4 linked regions of the Sus scrofa genome follow. The protein of the gene in region 1 purifies or fractionates together with the protein of each later gene. This does not show direct contact. Links are inferred from orthologs where the notes say so. Each region holds a gene or a part of one and is shown on either strand. Other genes may lie near its edges.

What was found.
Region 2: the proteins of HDAC11 (region 1) and ATG2B purify together in Homo sapiens (co-immunoprecipitation; 3 studies listed by BioGRID and IntAct, counting the BioPlex papers as one, with this or other methods). This does not show direct contact. The link is inferred for Sus scrofa from reciprocal best matches to the Homo sapiens genes HDAC11 and ATG2B.
Region 3: the proteins of HDAC11 (region 1) and GCFC2 purify together in Homo sapiens (co-immunoprecipitation; 3 studies listed by BioGRID and IntAct, counting the BioPlex papers as one, with this or other methods). This does not show direct contact. The link is inferred for Sus scrofa from reciprocal best matches to the Homo sapiens genes HDAC11 and GCFC2.
Region 4: the proteins of HDAC11 (region 1) and PAXBP1 purify together in Homo sapiens (co-immunoprecipitation; 3 studies listed by BioGRID and IntAct, counting the BioPlex papers as one, with this or other methods). This does not show direct contact. The link is inferred for Sus scrofa from reciprocal best matches to the Homo sapiens genes HDAC11 and PAXBP1.

What each region holds. Positions count from the first base shown.
Region 1 is NC_010455.5:70,876,281-70,881,442, reverse strand, and holds the start of HDAC11 (histone deacetylase 11), read left to right. Parts: upstream 1-1,579; 5' UTR 1,580-1,684; coding exon 1,685-1,686; intron 1,687-1,722; exon of another isoform or gene 1,723-1,812; intron 1,813-2,631; coding exon 2,632-2,780; intron 2,781-5,162. UniProt on the Homo sapiens protein: Responsible for the deacetylation of lysine residues on the N-terminal part of the core histones (H2A, H2B, H3 and H4).
Region 2 is NC_010449.5:117,533,760-117,538,458, reverse strand, and holds part of ATG2B (autophagy-related protein 2 homolog B), read left to right. Parts: intron 1-147; coding exon 148-318; intron 319-2,170; coding exon 2,171-2,312; intron 2,313-2,544; coding exon 2,545-2,747; intron 2,748-3,482; coding exon 3,483-3,709; intron 3,710-4,699. UniProt on the Homo sapiens protein: Lipid transfer protein required for both autophagosome formation and regulation of lipid droplet morphology and dispersion.
Region 3 is NC_010445.4:67,550,390-67,555,088, forward strand, and holds part of GCFC2 (GC-rich sequence DNA-binding factor 2), read left to right. Parts: intron 1-1,130; coding exon 1,131-1,262; intron 1,263-4,699.
Region 4 is NC_010455.5:196,343,011-196,347,709, reverse strand, and holds part of PAXBP1 (PAX3- and PAX7-binding protein 1), read left to right. Parts: intron 1-516; coding exon 517-593; intron 594-973; coding exon 974-1,040; intron 1,041-4,699. UniProt on the Homo sapiens protein: Adapter protein linking the transcription factors PAX3 and PAX7 to the histone methylation machinery and involved in myogenesis.

The sequences.
Region 1 (5,162 bases):
ACAACCTAAAAAACTCTCTTACCCAGAGCAATCTCACTCTTTTTGGCCTCAGGGCCTGGATCTAGTCTGCCCCAGATCTTTGTTCTCTCAACAAGAAGTTCATCCATGTGGCTTCCCCAACCACAGAGCAAGCTCCCTGAGATGAATTCAGTCACTCTCAGGGAATACAAGGCCACTGTGTGCAATTTCTCCCTTGTTGCTATTATTCAATATTAACTTTTTCTTTCTGTGGCTATAGTTTATCTATTCACATTCCTGACCTTTGGGCAAATGACTTCATTCTGTGCCCCAGTTTCCTCATCGGTAAAATGGGGATAACCAGTTTCTCAGGGTTGCAGTAAGGATCAAATGAGCACAAAGCTTTTAGAATTGAACCTAGCACACACTACATGTTGTTTAAATAATAATCAGCATGATCATCTCTTTTGATTCTCTCAACTTCCCCACGGGGTGAAGGGGTAGCCATGACTTCGTTTTCAGACACAAAATTAAGGGTCAGAAAGCCAAAGCCAGTGGCTTAAGGCCACAGCAAGGGCGGGAGTCTGGTTTTAACCCAGACCTCAACCTCAGTTACCTCCTGATGAAAGTGGGGTGATGATGGTACCCTCTGGAGGTATTAGGTTGTGAGAATCTAGTATCATCATGTAATCAAGGGACGGGCACGTGGAGGGCACTGTTCAAATGCCTGGGCCCTTTCCTTACAGTGCTGCACCCTGTCACACCGACGCTCTCACGGAGCCACTAGGGATCCCAGCTGCCCTGCTCCGGGCAGCCCTGGGGTCAGCTGCTTCTGTTTGATGGGCGGGGCAGCTGGGCCAACAGAGAAGCCCGTTGTCTCTGTCCTCTGGGGCTCAATTGTTGGCGCTCCTACCAGTGTCCACCCCCAAGACACTCTCAGCTGTCAGCGGGGCTTGTCTTGGCTTCCCGAGGTGGGGGAGGGGGGGTGTGCAGATAAACAACTGTACTCTGAAGACTGGATCACCAGCCTGGTTCTACCGATAAGGACACTGAGGCTTAGGGAGCCTAAGTGACTACGTGGGGAGCGAGCGCTTGTCGCTTGTCAGAACTACCAAGGATGGGGCTGGGGAGTTGCGAGGGGATGTTCCTCAAGTCAGAGAGGTCGTGGATCTCATTAAGTCAGAGATGTCAGGGCCAGAACACACGGCCCCCACGCTCCCATTTTACTCGTGGAAACAGAGACCCCAGAGCGCAGACGCTTGACCAAGGTCACACAGCTCTGCTAGGAAGCCTGGCATTTCTATCTCTTAGGATCTTCCAGCTTTCACACAGCGCAGAAAGGACGAGCGGCCCAAGGCGGGGCATAACGTGGCCCCTCCCCAGGGCCGGGACCATGCTTTCCATTCCAACTGTGACGAGCTGCCCTCCCCCTAAGGGGCGTGGCTTATGAGCCAGGCGCGATCCCACTGGATATTTGTCCCCGGAAGGCGGAATTTCGCGCTTGATGGGAGTTGGGGGCGTGGCTGTTTCCCCCCAAGAGCTCCGCGCGGGACTCCAGCCCTCTGTGACGCAGCGCGGGTGGGGGCGGGGCGGAGCCAAGCCTTCGGAGCACCGCCCCTAGCGGAGGCGGCCGAGGCCGGGGGCGTGTCCTGGGCGGGGCGGCCCCGGCGGCCCCGCCCCGCCCGGTTGAGGAGCAGTGGCCGCGCAGGGAGGGCCAGGTCCCGGGATGTGAGTGTGGCGGGGGTGGGGTCGCGGGGTGGGGCGCTGGGCCAAGCCCTGAGGGTTCCCAAGGGTTCCTCTGGGTGGGAGTACCAATGCGCAGGCGGCTGGGAGAGCCCGCCAAGTCGGGCCCAGGTATGGAGGGCTACCGCTCGGGCCGCGTGTGCTCAGGCCGGCCCCGCATGTAGGGCCAGCCCCGCGCCACTAATCTGCGGCCTCTGGAACCGGCGCCGGCCCGCGACGCGCGCGGGTCTGACGTCTGCCCTCGGGCTCCACTGGCTGTGCGGAGGCCCCCGCAGTGGCAGCAGGGTTTCTTTTCCCTGTGTCGCAGCGGCCGGGGAGGTGTGTGTCTGGTGGGGGTGAGCTGCGCGGCGGGGCCGAAGTGACCCCCATTCCTAGCTCTGGGTTGGGCCGCAGCCAGCGGGAGCCGCGACCTGCTGTTTCTTGGAACTGCCACCACCAGCTCTCAGATATAGGGCGCTTTCTGTGCTCGGTCGTTAGACGCATTATCTCAAGCCTCCCTACAGCCACACATTTTACAGTTGAGGAAAGCGAGGCCTAAAGCCACACAGCTGTTGGCTGTTTTGTTATCGTGTAGAGGTGAGGCTCTGAGGCCTTATAGCCAGACACACCTGGGTGCACATCCGCTGCTCCACAGGCCCTGTGTGATCTTGGACACACCTGGTCCCCTCTCCCGCCTCTGCTGGGATGGTGGTGCCTACATACTACAGGGGCGGCTGCGAGGACTGGGCTGGAGAGTGCGCAAGCTCAGGGAGGAGCTCTATTATTATTGTTGCTGCTGTTGCTAAGTGGCCCTTTTTCTGCCGCTGAGGGAGCTGCGGGACTGGATCAGGACTGTCTGTTCAATCAGAGCCTGCTGGTGCAGAAGGGGAGGCAGTTTCCCACACTGAGATTGTCCCTGTCTGTGTGTGTCTGTCTCTCTGCTCATGGAAGGCCACACACAACCCAGCTGTACCAGCATGTGCCGGAGACGCGCTGGCCCATTGTGTACTCACCGCGCTACAACATAACCTTCATGGGCCTGGAAAAGCTGCACCCCTTTGATGCAGGAAAATGGGGCAAAGTGATCAGCTTCCTCAAAGGTATGGAAGGCCCCACTTGCACCCTGCATCTGCTTCCTCCAACCCACCTGCCACCCCCCCACCCCCCGCCGTCTTTCCCAAACACCGGCTTCCAAGCCTCCCACCTGCAATGTCAGCCCTCAGGCTGCCTCCCACCTGTGCTGTCAAAAGGATGTTTCCAACACCAATTTCTAAGCAGGCTATGCCCCTGTATCACACCTGCACTGGCTCCCTATGGCTGGGGGCCTGAAGCCAGTCTCTGCCCCTGGAGGCCCAGTAGCGGGAAAGCTGTTTACCATGGGCCCAGGGAAGCTGCCATTTGGAGGAATGCACTGTCAGTAACCCACAGGCTCCTAGAGTCCAGGAGGTGGACCACCTTTGCTCTGACCCCACTGATTACAAGTGGAGAAAACTGGGGCCTAGGAAGGTTAGAAAACGTGCCCAAAGACACACAGCTCTTAAGTGGGAGAATGGAGTCTGGAAATCAGAGCTCCAGACGCCTCCCCTTCACTCTTCAAACTGCGATTTGTAATCCAGGTGTCTGGTTAAGGTGGAGACAGTTCAGGCGTCATAGTACTCTGGTGAAAAGACTATTCTAGCTCCCTGTATTGAGGTTTCTTTAACTGAAGGAGGTAGGAAATGTTACCTGAAGTGCTACCTGCATAGGGTGAAGTATTGAGTATCTTTAAATCACACAATCCTGATTACACCATGGGGAAAGTTTCACTTTGGAGCTTGTCCAACTTTAATACGTCAGAGCATCTCCCTTTTTAACCAGTCTAGAACAAACCCCAGCGTCTGCACCTTGTAGAAAATAGAATCAAACCAGAGATTAATAACACTTACTTGTTTCTGTATTTCTATTTTTGGTCAACTTCTGTTTATGGCAAGCGGTAGTGATTTTCCATTTGCAATAGTGACCAGAGTCTTCAAAGAAAAATACTAAGCAGAAACGAGTACAGCAGCGTGCAGCCATGGCGAGAGCTGTGGCAGGGTGAGCGCAACCAGCCCGCCTCACCCCGGGTATTCTCTGGCCTTCCTGAACGTGGTCCTTTGTGCTCTGCTGCCAGCCGGCCCAAGTCACTCCCCCCATTGCCCCTTCTTGGGTTCCTGTGTCACCCAGTAGCTTGACCAAAGGTTTCCTTGTCCCCTCCCCCTCCTCTGAGCTGACTGTCTTCCTGAGCTCCTTCCTTTCTCCTCTGAGGCTGTGGGTAGAAAGGAGGCAGGGCCACATGGGGAAGGTCTTAGGGTGCCAAGGAAAGAGCTGGCTCTTTGCAGCCATGGAATGGTTGGGGGGGGGGGATACCTGCTATATGTGATGCTATTTGTCGAAAATGTATGGAGCTAGCTGGTTTCTACCAGGGTTGGTTTCTAAAGGTAACACAAGCAAACAGGTCCCCTACATTCTGACCTTGTCCTTTGATTTTGCTAGAGCCAGAGCATCATGCTCTTGTCGTTGCTATGCCCTTGAACACTTCCTTCTTTCTGCTTCAGTGTCTTTTTTGCCAAATGGAGCAAGTCTTGTCTGGTGTGTGTGTGGGGGGGGTGATGAAATAACCAAGAGTTTCCCAAACATCAGTTGTTTGCAGATCACTCTTGGGGACTTGCCATGGCCTCACACTGCCTGTTCTGTTATTGACTTCGTAGTTTTTATTGGCTCAGCCTTTTTTTTCTTTTTAGGGCCATACCCACGGCATATGGAAGTTCCCAGGCTAGGGGTCGATTCTGAGCTGCAGCTGCTGGTCTACAGCCACAGCAACACAGGATCTGAGAGCAGTCTGTGAGCTATACCACAGCTCACAGCAAGGCCAGATCCTTAACCCACTGAGCAAGACCAGGGATCGAACCCACATCCTCATGGATACTAGTTGGGTTCTTAACCCTCTGAGCCATGATGGGAACTCCAGCCTTTGTTTTTAAAAACTTAAACTTGTATTTAAAGGAAACATTATGTCATATCAATGGAAAAAAGCCACTTTTATTTGCCATAAATAGAAGTTCATGGTAAAAAATAAATGCAGTGAGAACAACAGCACATTTCAGCTCAAGCTCCTTCCTTTGCTGGCAGGCTGTAAAACTGCTGCTTTGGGGGCTTTGAAAAGGGGAGATGAGCAAAGGTCAGGTGGGAGTTAAAGAGAGCCCCCCCCAAATAAAACTCCTGCGATGTCATCCCAAGGTGGAGAGAGAATTGACCAGAAGAGCTTTTCTGGCCTTGAGAGTCAACATGAGACCCATGTACCACCTGCCTCTGAACGTTGTCCTGTCACACCTGAGCTCACCCACAGCTGTCAGAGGCCTGGGAGACGCTGGGATCGCTATGCACAGTGTCCAATGCCCCCTGGCCTGTTTTGCACTGGCCTGGGAGGTGGCCCGCTCTCAGGCTGCCCACCAGCCTGCAGTGCC
Region 2 (4,699 bases), on another chromosome or scaffold:
TTTTAAAATTAAGACTGAGCTATTATAAATACTTATTTCCTTTAGCAAGACAAATTACCATGTTTCATTTAATGTAAACTTATGCAGAAATTTTTTTCCTCTTGTTCTGGAAAACATTTTTATCCTTTTTTCCCATATCCTGTCCAGACTGAGCCACGCTTTGAGTTACACTGTTCGAGTGACGTTGTCCATATTAGAACATGCTCAGACTCTTGTGCTGCGTTAATGAATCTCATTCAGTATATTGCAAGCTATGGGGACTTACATGCGGCTAACAGGGCGGACATGAAGCCTGGAGCCCCTCAAAGAAAGATGAAGGTACAGCTGCCAACCTACTCCTCAGAACTCACTCAGCCCCACCCCATGCCAGCCACATGAGTGGCATGTTTGCGTCATTGAGGTCTGCTTGAGAGTCATAGGATGGAAGGGAACCTTTGAGCAATCATCTGTCTGTTCCTTACTTTCAGAGTGGTGGAGTCTGGAAAGGTGATTCCGTGGGCCTTTTTGGAAAACTGTTTTACTCTTTGATATTCTTTGTTTCAGGACGTTAATCTTCTCAATCAATGTACGTTTTCCCAGACTTAAATTATTTTCATGTGTCCTCAGGGAAGGAAGAAAATATTTTATCATGTGACAGCCTGTTGTATTACAAGTTGTATATAAAAGATGCTGTAAGAAGATAGACAGCAGGAATTAAGATTATTACCAAGGACTTATTTTATATAATATCATCTGTATTTGTTATCTAGCGCACCATCCAGTTTTGAGTGTACTTTCTCATATGTGATGCCTTTTACCCAGGGCGCTAGAGAGGTTAAACATGGCCATCTCTCTTTTGCAGATGAATGTGGTAAGACCCAGAGAACTTAGGTGACTTGTCCTAGTTAGTAGCAGACTCAGCAGCAATCCCCAGATATTTTGATTCTCAGTTCAGTGCTTTCTTATGGCCCCATCTGTCACCGCTCTGCCCTGTCTTGAACAATATGCAGTTTGTTTAGCATTTTCTATTTTTTCAGTGTTTTCATTCTTCTTCATGGCCTCTTCTGTGAAGAGATTTTTCGAACCGTTAGGTTAATGCAACCTCTGCTAAGGGACGGATAGGCCTTGCGTTGTCTGTCATTCAGGTTGATCTTACACCTCATTTGTGTTACACTTCTGTTTTTGTTTCCTCGCTCCTGCTACATTCTCCTTGGTAATAAAGTGATTTAATGACACACTTTCTCTCCTGTTGCTTCTTAAAAGTTATTTTAAATTATCCCTTTTTCTAATGGGATCTTTCCATTTTGGAGTCATGCTGATATTTTTTAAAGCCTGGTTTGGGTTTAATGAATCACAGTTCACTAACAAAAACGGTTAAGCATCTGTGATGGAATTGAAAGCCATGAATTACCATTTAGTAGATTTCCCCTCTTAGCTCTACCCCCTACTGTCTTTAAGTGTCTGTCTGTTCCACGAAATGAGGCTCTGACCTCCAGTGGCTTTGTCTCAGAGGGTGAAGGTCATGGCAACTATCAGATTTAAGCAGATCACACTCCCTTAGACAGATCTCCTCTCCTTCAGCTTTATTGCACTTTTTTCCACTTTCCTTCTCTACTCTTGTATTAATGTGTCAAGATTCCAGTTCACTCTGCTGGCTTTCAGATCAAAACACATTTATTCCTATTTTCCAGGAGTTGTTGGAAGTGAAAATGATGATACTAAAAACTTAAAATGAACGCAGCACATGTAACAGCTGCTGGGGGAGAATATAGAAAAATGAATATGTTCCTCTTTCTGGTTTTTTTATTTACTTACTTACTTACTTATTTATTTATTGTCTTTTTGCCTTTTTCTAGAGCCACTCCTGCGGCATATGGAGGTTCCCGGGCTAGGGGTCTAATTGGAGCTGTAGCTGCTGGCCTACACCACAGCCACAGCAATGTGGAAACTGAGCCGCATCTGCGACCTACACCACAGCTCACGGCAATGCCGGATCCTCAACCCCCTGAGCAAGGCCAGGGATCGAACTCACAACCTCGTGGTTCCTAGTTGTATTCGTTAACCACTGCACCACAACGGGAACTCTGCTGGTGTTTTTTAAATGTAGTGTATTTCTAGGACAAAATAATGTTAAGTAATTTGCTTCTTAGAGCATTTTTCAGTTGTTTTTAATGAAGTTTTTTGGCTGTAGGTAGATTCTAGTGGCCGATCATCCTCACGTGGTCCAGTACTTCCTGAAGCAGATCAGCAGATATTACGAGATTTGATGAGTGACGCTATGGAGGAGATTGATATGCAAGAAGCTGCTTCGTCTGTAAAACCACAGTCTAACGGTGAGACAGACCAGGACATTTTCTCTGGAAGCTGTGAATTTGTAGTGGAGGCTTATATTTTTTGTGTTCTTACAAATTCTTCAATAAGTAACTTATCAAAGAAAAAAACAAGCCTGAGCTTTGGTGGATGTTTTAGTCAAACAGCCCGTGTTTAGTGAGTGTCTAGTAGATAAATAATACTGGCCAGAATTGAAAATGTGCCAGAATTGAACCTTGGAATCTTTTTACCTAGGTGTTTTGGATGCGAAGTCTCAAATTCAGGAGCCGTGTTGTTCAGACCTCTTCCTGTTCCCAGATGAGAGTGGGAATGTGTCCCAGGAGCCTGGCCCCACCTATGCCTCATTCACTCACCACTTGACCAGTGATGCAATGACAGGCGCGCCCACAGAGAATGATGACTTTTGCATTCTTTTTGCACCAAAAGCAACCATTCAGGTAATAAATTGATAACAAAATTAAAGTCTTAAAATAGTATTACAATTGAATTGACCAATGGGCACCTGAAAAAGTTTCTCTGGATTTTGTAAACTGTACACTCTTCAGAATTTCTTCCTCTTGTAACTTACTGTTGATGCTTTGTAAATGTTCGAACTTGGCTCCTTTTTCTAAGTCCCTTAGAGACTTAGAAAAATGCTCTCTATTTGTAAAATCTCTGACATGGTTTCTTGAACTACAGAGATAGTATGTAGTAAGATACCTCTTCAGGGTAGTGAAATTAAACGGCAGAAAGAACTTCTGTACAGAGTTGTTACCTAAGAGTTGGGAAGGATAAGATGTACTTTGTGTGAAGGCTGATGGTTTCTTAATATATATAATTTCCATTTTAGCATCATGCTCACATTTAAAAAGCATGGTCTGGACTTAATGAATCCACAGTTCACTAAATAAAATGACTGGGCATTCAATCTGTATCTTTTTATTGGCAAACAAGTAGTAAAAGCCAAATTATAGACTGTAAAAAATTCTTATGGAGTAATTCACATAGAAGAGAGTTCATTTTCTAGTTAATAAAGCAAAACATCTTAAGTGACGATTAATGTATTTGTTATCCTACTTTATGTGTTGAAATTATTGGGAAGAATGCAAAATCAAGAAACCCCTTGGGGTACAGTGTAATTGGTGGTTTCTACTTAGATAAGAGAGTGTGTGCCGTCTGTGTCTTTGTCTTAGGAGAAGGAAGAAGAACCAGTTGTAAAAATAATGGTCGATGATGCAATCGTGATAAGAGATAATTATTTTAGTCTGCCTGTTAAGAAGACAGATACAAGCAAAGCCCCGTTACACTTTCCCATTCCTATAATTCGGTACGTGGTTAAAGAAGTCTCCCTTGTTTGGCATCTTTATGGAGGAAAAGATTTTGGAACAGCCCCTCCTACTTCTCCAGCTAAAAGTTTTATGTAAGTTAATTTCTACGTAAGTTTATTTGGTGGGCCAATATATTCTTTTCATAAAATATTACACAGAATTTATCCTTTAAATAATTCTTAATAAGTAGTATTAAAAACTGTAATTTAACTGTTCCTCTATTGAATAACTATACTCCATTGTATGGTTGATTTACAGTGCTGTGCTAATTTCTGCTGTACAGCAAAGTGATTCAGTTTTTTATACACACACACACACACACATACACACCCCCACACACACTCTTTTTAAAAAAATATTCTTTTCCGTTGTGGTTTATCATAGGACATTGAATGTAGTTCTCTGCTGAACAGTAGGGCCTTGTTTAGTCCCTTCATGTGTAATAGCTTCTACCTGCTAACCCCGGCCTCCCACTCCATCCCTACCTCAACGCACTCCCTTTGGCAACCACAAGTCTGTCCTCCTTGTCTGTGAGTCTGTTTCTGTTTCCTAGATAGGTTCATTTGTGTCATATTTTAGATTCCACATGTAAGTGTTATCCTGTGGTACTTGTCTTTCTCTTTCTGACTTCACTTAGAATGATAATCTCTAGGTCCGTCCATGTTGCTGCAAATCTTTTCTTTTTATGGCTGAGTAGTATTCCATTGTATATATGTACTATGTTTTCTTTATCCATTTGTCTGTCAATGGACATCAAAGTTGTTTCCATGTCTTGGCTATTATGAACAGTGCTGCTGTGAACATAGGGGTGTGTGTATCTTTTTAAATTATAGTTCTCTCTGGATATACACCCAGGAGTGGAATTGTTGGATCATATAGTAGTTCTGTATTACAGTTTTCTGAGGAATCCCCTTACTGTTTTCCATAGTGGCTGTACTGACTTACATTCCCACCAACAGTGTAGGAGGGTTCCCTTTTCTTCACACCTTCTCCAGCATTTGTTATTTGTATATTTATTGATGATGGCCATTCTTTTTTTTTTTGTCTTTTCTATGGCTGCACCTGATGCATATGGAGGTTCC
Region 3 (4,699 bases), on another chromosome or scaffold:
AGCAGTTTTGGCTTATAGCTGTCTAAAAGTGTTCGAGAGACCTCTAAGGGTTGATGGACTATACTCTTAAGAACCATTGCTTTGGTGTAACTTTTCTTCACTTTAGGAAGATATAGGAGTTGTCATAAATAGCAGTAGCTAAGAAAGATGTAAACTGTAGCTATTTTCCTCTGTCTTTTAAGTTTGGTTTCTTAACTCTAGACTTTTTTGAAATGTATAAGGGATATAAACATCTAATTAAGGGATGTTTTTAAGGTAAAGAGTACTATTTATGTAATCTTGAGTTTTAAGGTTATTCACAAATATGACAAAATAATTGTGAATTAACAAGTCCTTTCTTTGTCAATAATACCATGAATTCCTTTACATTTTGTTCATTCAGTTCTTGAATACCTCTGTGAGAGTTATCATTGAATATTACCTTTAATAGATTAATTGACTGTGTCCTTTCCAGAATCGTACAGTGGAAATAGATTTATGATTTGGTTTGAGACCACAGTGCTCGTTATAGTACTCCTTAACCACCAGCCCTTGATATGTGTCATAATATTTATGAGAGCCTAAATTCCAGAGTTGGATGAAATTAGATTGAAAGCCCTGCTTCTGCATTTAATAACTTTGTGACACTTTGTTATTTAGCCTCTCCATTCCTTAGTGTCCTCATCAGTAATAGCATTTACTTTATAGAATTGCATTAAATGAAACATACCTTGTGAAACAGACTTCAGTATGCCTAGTACATACTAGTGTAGTGTATGTGAAGTGTTCTTTTCTTTTTTTACTTATTTGCTACCACTGCTTTCCTCACTGTCTTAAATATTCCTTCATTTCTTGTCATTTTGTTTCTCCTATGTTCCCTTTCCTCTTTTCATTTCATTCTTTAAGGGAGGATTTTACTAGTTAAGTAGATAGTGCAAATAGGATAAGCCCTTGTACATTTATCAGACCATCTGTTGATTTCAGAAAGAATGGAAGTTAGGGACAGATCTGCATTAGATCTACCTTAATTTAAGTATGTGGAGTAAAATGAAAACACCGTATTTTATATGTGCCATGTATTGTTCAGAATTTCAATTATTGATTCCAACGTCTTGACTCTTTCTTATTATATTTAAAAAATGTCCTCTTAGAATCCAGAACAGTTGATCTTTCAACAGACAGAGAGGATGGAATACATCATTCTTCAGAAAGCAAAGATGATCAGAGTTCATCTTCCAACAGCTCTAGCTCTCTGGAAGAAGAAGAAGAATTTTTATCAACAGGTTGGTAATTTTGGTTAAGAACTTTATTTCTAATACTAGTATTTTATGCTAGTGATTGTTATTATTGGTAAACTCCAGTGAAGTCTAAGGCAAGTAAGTCATTAATGATTGTCAAAGTGCCAAAATTGATTGCTCATTCCCATTGTGTAACATGCCGAAGGTCTGATGGCTTATAGGAGGCATAGCTAGGATTCAGACCCAGGCAATCCTCTCCAGAGGCAATGTTCTTAACTACTGTGCTATACTAGCTGATTCATGCCCTTGTCTGAAAGGTGTTAAGAATTTGTGAGGCTGTTTCAGGTACAGAATGTAGCATATGTAAAACTCTAGAGAAGATAGCATCGCATGTGAAAATTAAAAGTAGTTGTTGGACAGAAAATACTTGATTCAAGTTTAAAAAAGAGCAAAATGAACGCAGAGGAACAAATTAGAGTCAGATAATAGGTTTTGAGGGAACTGCTGAAAATGTTATGCGAAGCGATGACATGACCATTTTTGTGTTTTACAGAGATAAGCCCAATCCAGGGGTTGGCAGGTTACCTCCTGTGAGCCACATCTGGCCCATTATCTGCTTTTGTGAATTAAGTTTTATTAAAGCCATGCTTATTCAGTTATGTATTATCTGTGGCTGTTTTTGCACTATGATGGCACAGATGAGAAGACTTTACGACTTTATGGCCCAAAAAGCTGGAAATATTTACCTGACCTTCTACTCTAGCTCAAGTGTTGTTAACTTGTCTTGTGCTGTGGACTCTCTTCAGTTTCAGGAAGCCTAGACCTCTTCTAAGAAAAATGAACTACAAACTGCATTGCTTTATAAAGAAAACAAGTTAATTTGAAATGTAATTATTAAAATATATTTTTAAGGATTCGTAATACAGTAGTAAGCATTTTATTAACATATGACATAGTAGGAACCAGATGATTTGTCTGAAGTTCACAAGCTACAGGAGTACTTAGGGATGAAGCCAATATAAAGAATTAAAGCCTAGTGGACAAACGAAGCTTTGTCTAGACTGTAGATACAGTGCTGTCCAAGTCCCAGAGAACTCTTTGTGAAGGTTCTATATCTTCACTTTCTAGTACATTAGCCACTAGCCACATGTGGCTATAGACTTTTGAAATGTGATAGTGTGGCTAAGGAGCTGTGTTTTTAAATTTAAATACTCTCATATGGCTGGTCGTTACTATACTGAACAGTGCTGCTGTAGAAGATGGCAGATTAGATAATGTAAGGCAGTCATTGTAAAGTGTTGGTAGCACTGGGAATCTAAAGGAGAGAAGGCAATATTTGGGAGTTCCCATTGTGGCACAGCAGTAACAAACCCAACTAGTAACCAGTAACCAGGAGGATGCGGGTTGAATCCCTGGCCTTGCTCAGTGAGTTAAGTATCCGGCATTGCCATGAGCTGTGGTGTAGGTCACAGACGCAGCTCGGATCCTGCATTGCTGTGGCCATGGTGTAGGCTGGCAGCTGCAGCTCCAGTTCAGCTGCTAACCTGGGAACTTCCATATGCCACATGTGTGGCTGTAAAAAAAAAGCAAAAAAAAAAAAAAAAAAAAAAGACGATAGTCATACACGTTCATATACATTCTAAAAAAATCTATATTTTATATTCCCCTCCCCCATATTTGTGGTTGCCATAGGGTTCAAATATATTGATCCGTAACTATATCTATATGCTTTAAGATAATAAGTCATGCAAGTTCAAACATTCTAAAAACATATATTTTTATATTCCCCTCCCATATTTTGTGATTTTGATGTCCTATTGCTATATGAGAAATTTGCCAGTTTCCAGTTGGCTTTCTGTGAGGATTGTTCCACATGTAGATGTATTTTTGATGTGTTTGTGGGGGGAAATGAGCTCCATGCCTTCCTACTCTCCCATCTTCACTCCCTCCTGACCTCTGCCCCTAGATAGGACGACATGTGAAAATTATGTATGAGTTGTAAATCTGTGAAAACATAGTGTTTTCATTTTCATGAAGCAGTATGCTAACATTAATTCATCCCATGTTTGACCAGCATGTACTGTGTGGGAACCCTTGAGCTAGGTGTTGGATATAGATGGGACAGGATAGAAATCTCTTCTCTTTCTTGTTCGTTTCTTTTCTTTTTTTTTCTTTTTTGCTTTTTAGGGCTGCACCCATGGCATATGGAAGTTCCCAGGCTAGGGGTCGAATCGGACAGCTGCTGGACTTCACTGCAACCATAGCAACTGGGGATCCAAGCCATGTCTGCAACCTACACCACAGCTCATAATAACACTGGATCACCAACCCACTGAGCAAGGCCAAGGATCATACCCACACCCTCGTGGATACTAGTCAGATTTGTTTCCTCTGAGCCAAAGCAGAAACTCCCTGAACTTCTATTTATTTATTGTAACTTGAAAGAAGATTAGCTTTGTGTAACACTAGTATCTCACTAGTGAGTCCATTGCTTGTGATTCATCACTTAAACCCCACCAAGTCAGTCGCAGATAGAAGTTCAAGTATTTCTGTTTCTGTGTTCATACACTTGATTATTTGAACTTAACGTGTATCATCTTAACCCTGGTGGCACGTTAAAATCTCTTAGGGGGCTATAAAAACATACTTCTGGGAGTTCCCATCGTGGCACAGCAGAAATGCATGCAACTAGTATCCATGAGGATGAGGATCCATGAGGCCAAGGGATCCCTGGCCTTGCTCAGTGGGTCAGCGATCCAGCATTGCCATGAGCTGTGGTATAGGTGCCATTCGTGGCTGGGATCCCAAGCTGCTGTGGCATAGGCTGGCAGCTATAGCTCACATTCAACCCCTAGCCTGGGGAGTTCCATATGCCATGGGTGTGGCCCTAAAAAGCAAAAAAAAAGAAAAATACTGTTGCTCATCTCTGCCTCAGAACAACTGAATCTAAATCTCTGGAATGGGAGCCTAGTTGTCATTATCAGCCTTCCCGGGTGATTCTAACATGTAGCCAGGGTCAAGCAATGCTAACTTAACCTGTTGTGGTGGTTTTGAATTTTAATTCCGCTTTAGATTAATACTAGCTATACCTCCTAGCTTTATAGATGTCTTCTTGCCTGAATTCACATCACAATAAAATCATTAGAACAGGCAAGACAAAATTCAGGGCCTTCTTGCAGAACCCTACCATGATAATCTCAGAGCTTCCGGAAATGAGAAATAGCTAGCCCCCCCTCAACAAAAAGTCAGCAACAACACTTGATGAAAAAGAGATTTAAAGGATAAACTGGAGTGGTTTCAGTGTGTTTTCTGATATTTCTAGATTTGGTTCATTTCTCATATTTAATCTCTATCAAAGTAATTATCTTCTGTTATTGATACAGATTTTGAGTCATTTAGTTATTCACAAAAAATAGTGGAAAATGATGTTTTTTTCTTTTATTTAAATGTGAGGAGTGTCTCTTTCTTTTGTTTTCACCATT
Region 4 (4,699 bases), about 130 Mb from region 1:
GACTAATCAGACCTCCCTCGAAGAAATGTATTTTTTAGGAAAAAGAACCTAAGACTACTAGAATGGGTAACGACTGACGATATAAATAAGGAAACATTTCAGTAATGTTTAAAACCACTAGGTATTGTTTTATACCTAGTTTCCAAAGTTCAAACTGCTGTCCCAGTGGACATTCTTAGGAGCTGTTTAGACATGGGAAAGTTCTCTTTATCATTGTTTTGTTTTCATTGACCTCATTTTGGAAAAACCAGGGTGTAGGTCTGATCCTAAATCTTTATGTAGCAGAAAAGGGGTTGGACGATTTCTCAGTTGCTTTACTGCTTGATCGTTGATGTGAACTAAGAGTAGTATTAAAAACCTTAGGGCCTTTGGTGGGAAAGGTCAGACATTCGAAACTGTTCACTCAGAGTTGAGTACTCAATTACGTGACTTGGAATATAGCTTATCTTTATTTCCTATAACCTAACTTTGCCCATAACCCTTATTAAAATGCATGGTCTATTTTTAACTTTTTAGGTGTACCTTAAAGCACTTTTATTGAGAATGAGGAGAACTTTAGATGATGATGTATTCATGCCCTTATATCCCAAAAAGTAAGTAACTCCTGAGAACATTAAAGGTGATAGTATTCCGCATTCTCTTTCAGAGAAGGCTTATTAAATTCTGGGAAAACGAAGTATATGTAGCATGAAATACAGACCTTGCCTACGTAGGGTAAGCCTGTAGCCCAGAGAGACTGGCTCAGTGGGGAAGTCGTTCCCTTAAGCAGGGAAAAGCACACAGTGCTTTCTGTTGTCCCCTACCATCTCAGAGTAAATGATTATCCTCTGGAATACAGTTGTTCGGAAATTGAAAAAAATTAGCTCTTTCTTTTGTTCACCTCTTTTACATAGAGAAAGAAATCTTCTAGGAATTAGATGGCACATGAACATATAAAACATTTCATCATGACGTCTTTTTCTTTTTTTCTTAGTGTCTTAGAAAATAAAAATTCTGGGCCTTATTTGTTTTTTCAACGACAGTTTTGGTCTTCAGTTAAGGTACGTGTCTGTGGGCTGTCTAAAAGACTTGAGATTTTGTTTGATTTTCATATATTATTTTAATATTTGGTTAAGTAATTTCATAGGCTTAGATCTATGTCTATATAAAGTTTCCATTTTACAAACTAACTTTATTCCAAAAGTTGATTTGGGTTTGAGGTTTGTAGAGGAGAAAATTCTGAGTTCCATTAAGGAGCAGACGAGACAACACAGTGCCTTACTAAAGCACAGTTATTTTATTCAGCAAGTAGGGTACCAGGTCCTCTTCTAAGTTGGGAGGACCTAGCACTGAGCAAGGTAGAAGTAGAGCCTTCACAGTTGTTTATCGTCCAGCACAATGAACAGATGGCAAACCAGGAATCTCAGGTATGATGAATTTTGAAAAAAGGAATTCAGAGTTTATGGAAGCATATGACAAGGGGTGTAGGAGATTCCTTTCCACCCCGAGAAAGTAATATTTGGGTTGTTAGACCAGCTGAAGAAATGAGTCTTTGGCCCTGAGGTGAGGGAGAGCAGGATATACTAGAACCGAGAGAAGTCTAGAATGGCTAGAGTTAGGGAAGGGACGAGGAGTCTGGATGATAGATAGGGAGCTGTGATTTACATACAGACGTGTCATCACTACCCAGATCAAGATGTGTGACACTTCCATCCTCTCCCCCAAAGCCCCCGTGCCCCTTTGCAGTCAATCCCATCCCTACACTTTGGCTACCACCCCACCGCCTTTTTTTTTTAATTTTATGGCTGCACCATGGCCCATGGAAGTTCCTGGGCCATGGATTGAATCCGAGCCACAGCTGCAACCTATCCTGCAGCCGTGGCAATGCTGGATCCTTTTAACCCACTGTGCTGGGCCAGGGATTAAATCTGTGCCTCCACAGTGACCTGAACCACTGCAGTCAGATTCTTAACCCCCAGTGCCACAGCTTTTTATTGTCCTGTAGTTTTCTTTGTAAGACCATCTTAGAAACGGAATTGTATGCCATCTAGCCTTTTGAGTCTGGCTTCATTCACAACATAATGCATTTGTGGTTTATCAGTGTTGTCGTGCTTTCATTCCGTTTTATTGCTACATGGTATTCAAGTGTATGGTGGGTATACCATAGGATTTTTGGTTTGGATTTTTATCCAAACCCCAGTTGAGAGATGTTGCACTGTTTCCAGTTTGGAGTAATTATGAATAACCCGTTTGTGTACAGGTTTTTTGGGTATGTACATTTCGGTTCACTTGGGTAAACGCCTGGGCAAGACTGTTTTCTGGACCGACAGTGCATTCGTGTTCTAGTTCATCTTCTTTCTCACCACTCACCACACTTGGTATCTTCAGGGGTTTTATTTTTTTTTTTAAGTTTTTTACTGGGTGTATAGTTGTGTTTGCGGTTTTAATTTGTATTTCCCTAATGACTGATGACGCTGAGCATGTTTTCATGTGCTTATTTACCATTTGTATATCTTTTTTGGTGAAGTACCTATTCAGATCTGTGGCTCATTTTTAAAAATTAGGCTTTCTTTCCTTTTTTGTTTATTTTTTTTGCAGAGAGTGCACATTTTAATGAAACCACCATGCTTACTATTTCCAGATTCTTCGTACATTTAAAATCAGATAGACTGAATAAACTACTTATTTTCTTTTCAATGTTTTGCAGTCACAAAATAGTATCACTCTTCTCTACTACTGCATAGGAAATTCTGGAAAGATAGCAGCATGTTATTTTCGGCCTAAAAATATGCTCTTCTCAAATACAGTGATAAAGCAATAGAAAGTGAAAATTATAGCAAGAGGAAGAAGAGCACCTATAAACGTGCATGGAATACACCTATACCAAACCATCAAATTGGGTTTTCTTATTACTGAGCTTTGGTGTATGTATTCTTGATATAAGTACTTCGTCACAGACATGATTTGCAAAGAGTGTTCCCCCCAGGCCGTGGCTTGTCTTCATCCTTTTTCCAAGTGCAGAGGTTCTTCATTGTGATGAAGTCCCGTTTATTACTTTTTCCTGTTTTGGATCGTGCTTTAGGTGTCATATCTAAGAAGTCTTTGCCTGACACAGGGCCGCAAAGTTTGTCTCCTGTCCTTTCTTCTGGGTGTTTCATGAGTTTAGGTTTTTACATTTACGTCTGTGATGGATTTTGAGTACATTGTTACAGAGGGCGTGAGGCCTCGATTGCTGTTTGTTTGTCCTAGTGTGGTTTGTTGAGAAGACTTTTTTTTTTTTTTTTTTAATTAAATTCCTTTTGTACTTTGAAAATCAGCTGACCTTATGTGGGTCATGGAAGGTTTTTAGTACTTTGCCATTTTTAAGATCATCTGGCTGCTCTGTGAGGGTAATGGATTGACGTAGGTAAAAATAGTAGTAGTGAGAGTGAGAATTAGTGTTTATTACATATTCACTGCGTGCCAAGCACCGTACCACACCCTTAATATAGGTTATCTTGTTGAATCCTCACAATAGGCCTGTGAGCTTGACATAATTGCTCTCACTCTGCAGAGGCACAGGATAACCTGCCAGGCTCCTCCTCTGTTTAGTGGGAGAGATGGGAGTCTCACTCAAGCCAGTCTGACGCTGGAGCGGCTCTTCTTCACTGGGGTTTTCTGAGAGAATTCATACTCGATACCCTATGGCTTCCAATATGTATGCATCTAGAATGGTTCTAGCTTGTGCTATCCCTGGGAGAATTAAGTAAGGACTCAGCTCATTTTCTGTAGGCTTCAGTTCTCTCAAAGAACTGTGCGTGAGAAAAACTCTACCAGAGCTCCTGCTCACCGCCACTGGAGTAACTGCAGGGTCTGGAGGAGACGGTGGCAGCTGAGATGGGGGGTGACGGTGGGAGTCCAGAGATGTATGGGGGAGGGGTCAGGAATGGCAAGCAGGCTCTGGCCTGATTGGATAGATAGTGTTGCCATTTCCTTGAGATGAGAAATACTGGGAACTTAGGCATGTTTATGGTGGAGTGGGCTGGGGTTTCCACTTTATGTGTATTGAGGTTAAGTAGCTTCTGATGTCTGGTTGATGAGGTCTGGTAAAGGTGCGATGTGGTTCGAAAAGAAATCTCCAGGAGTTCCCATCCTGGCTCAGTTGTTAATGAATCCGACTAAAAACCATGAGGTTGCAGGTTCAATCCCTGCCTTGCTCAGTGGGTTAAGGACCTGGCGTTGCCGTGAGCTGTGGTGTGGGTCGCAGACGAGGCTTGGATCCCGAGTTGCTGTGGCTCTGGCGTAGGCCAGCGGCTGCAGCTCCATTCGACCCCTAGCCTGGGAAGCTCCATATGCCTCGGGAGTGGCCCAAGAAATGGCAAAAAGAAAAGAAAAAGAAAAGAAAAGAGATCTCCATCTTCTGTGGGAGCCATAGGGACTGGTCGAGGCATGATTTTCAAGGAGGACTTGTGCCTAAGCAGCAGCACTTGCCCACTAATGGAAAATGTTTTGTTATCAGTATTGTCCACTACAGTGACCACTGGCTCCATCTCCCTTTTACATTTCCCTTCATCTCAGTCATTCTGGGAAATATTCAGACCCTTTACAGCTGCTTATTACTGCTTAGGCAAGACCTGGTCCACTGGATTTCATTATTGTGTTACTAATTTACTTTAGACATAATTTAATTGCTTAACATTATGTCTCAATTTTTTTTCTTTTCAAAAAACACCTTTAGTAA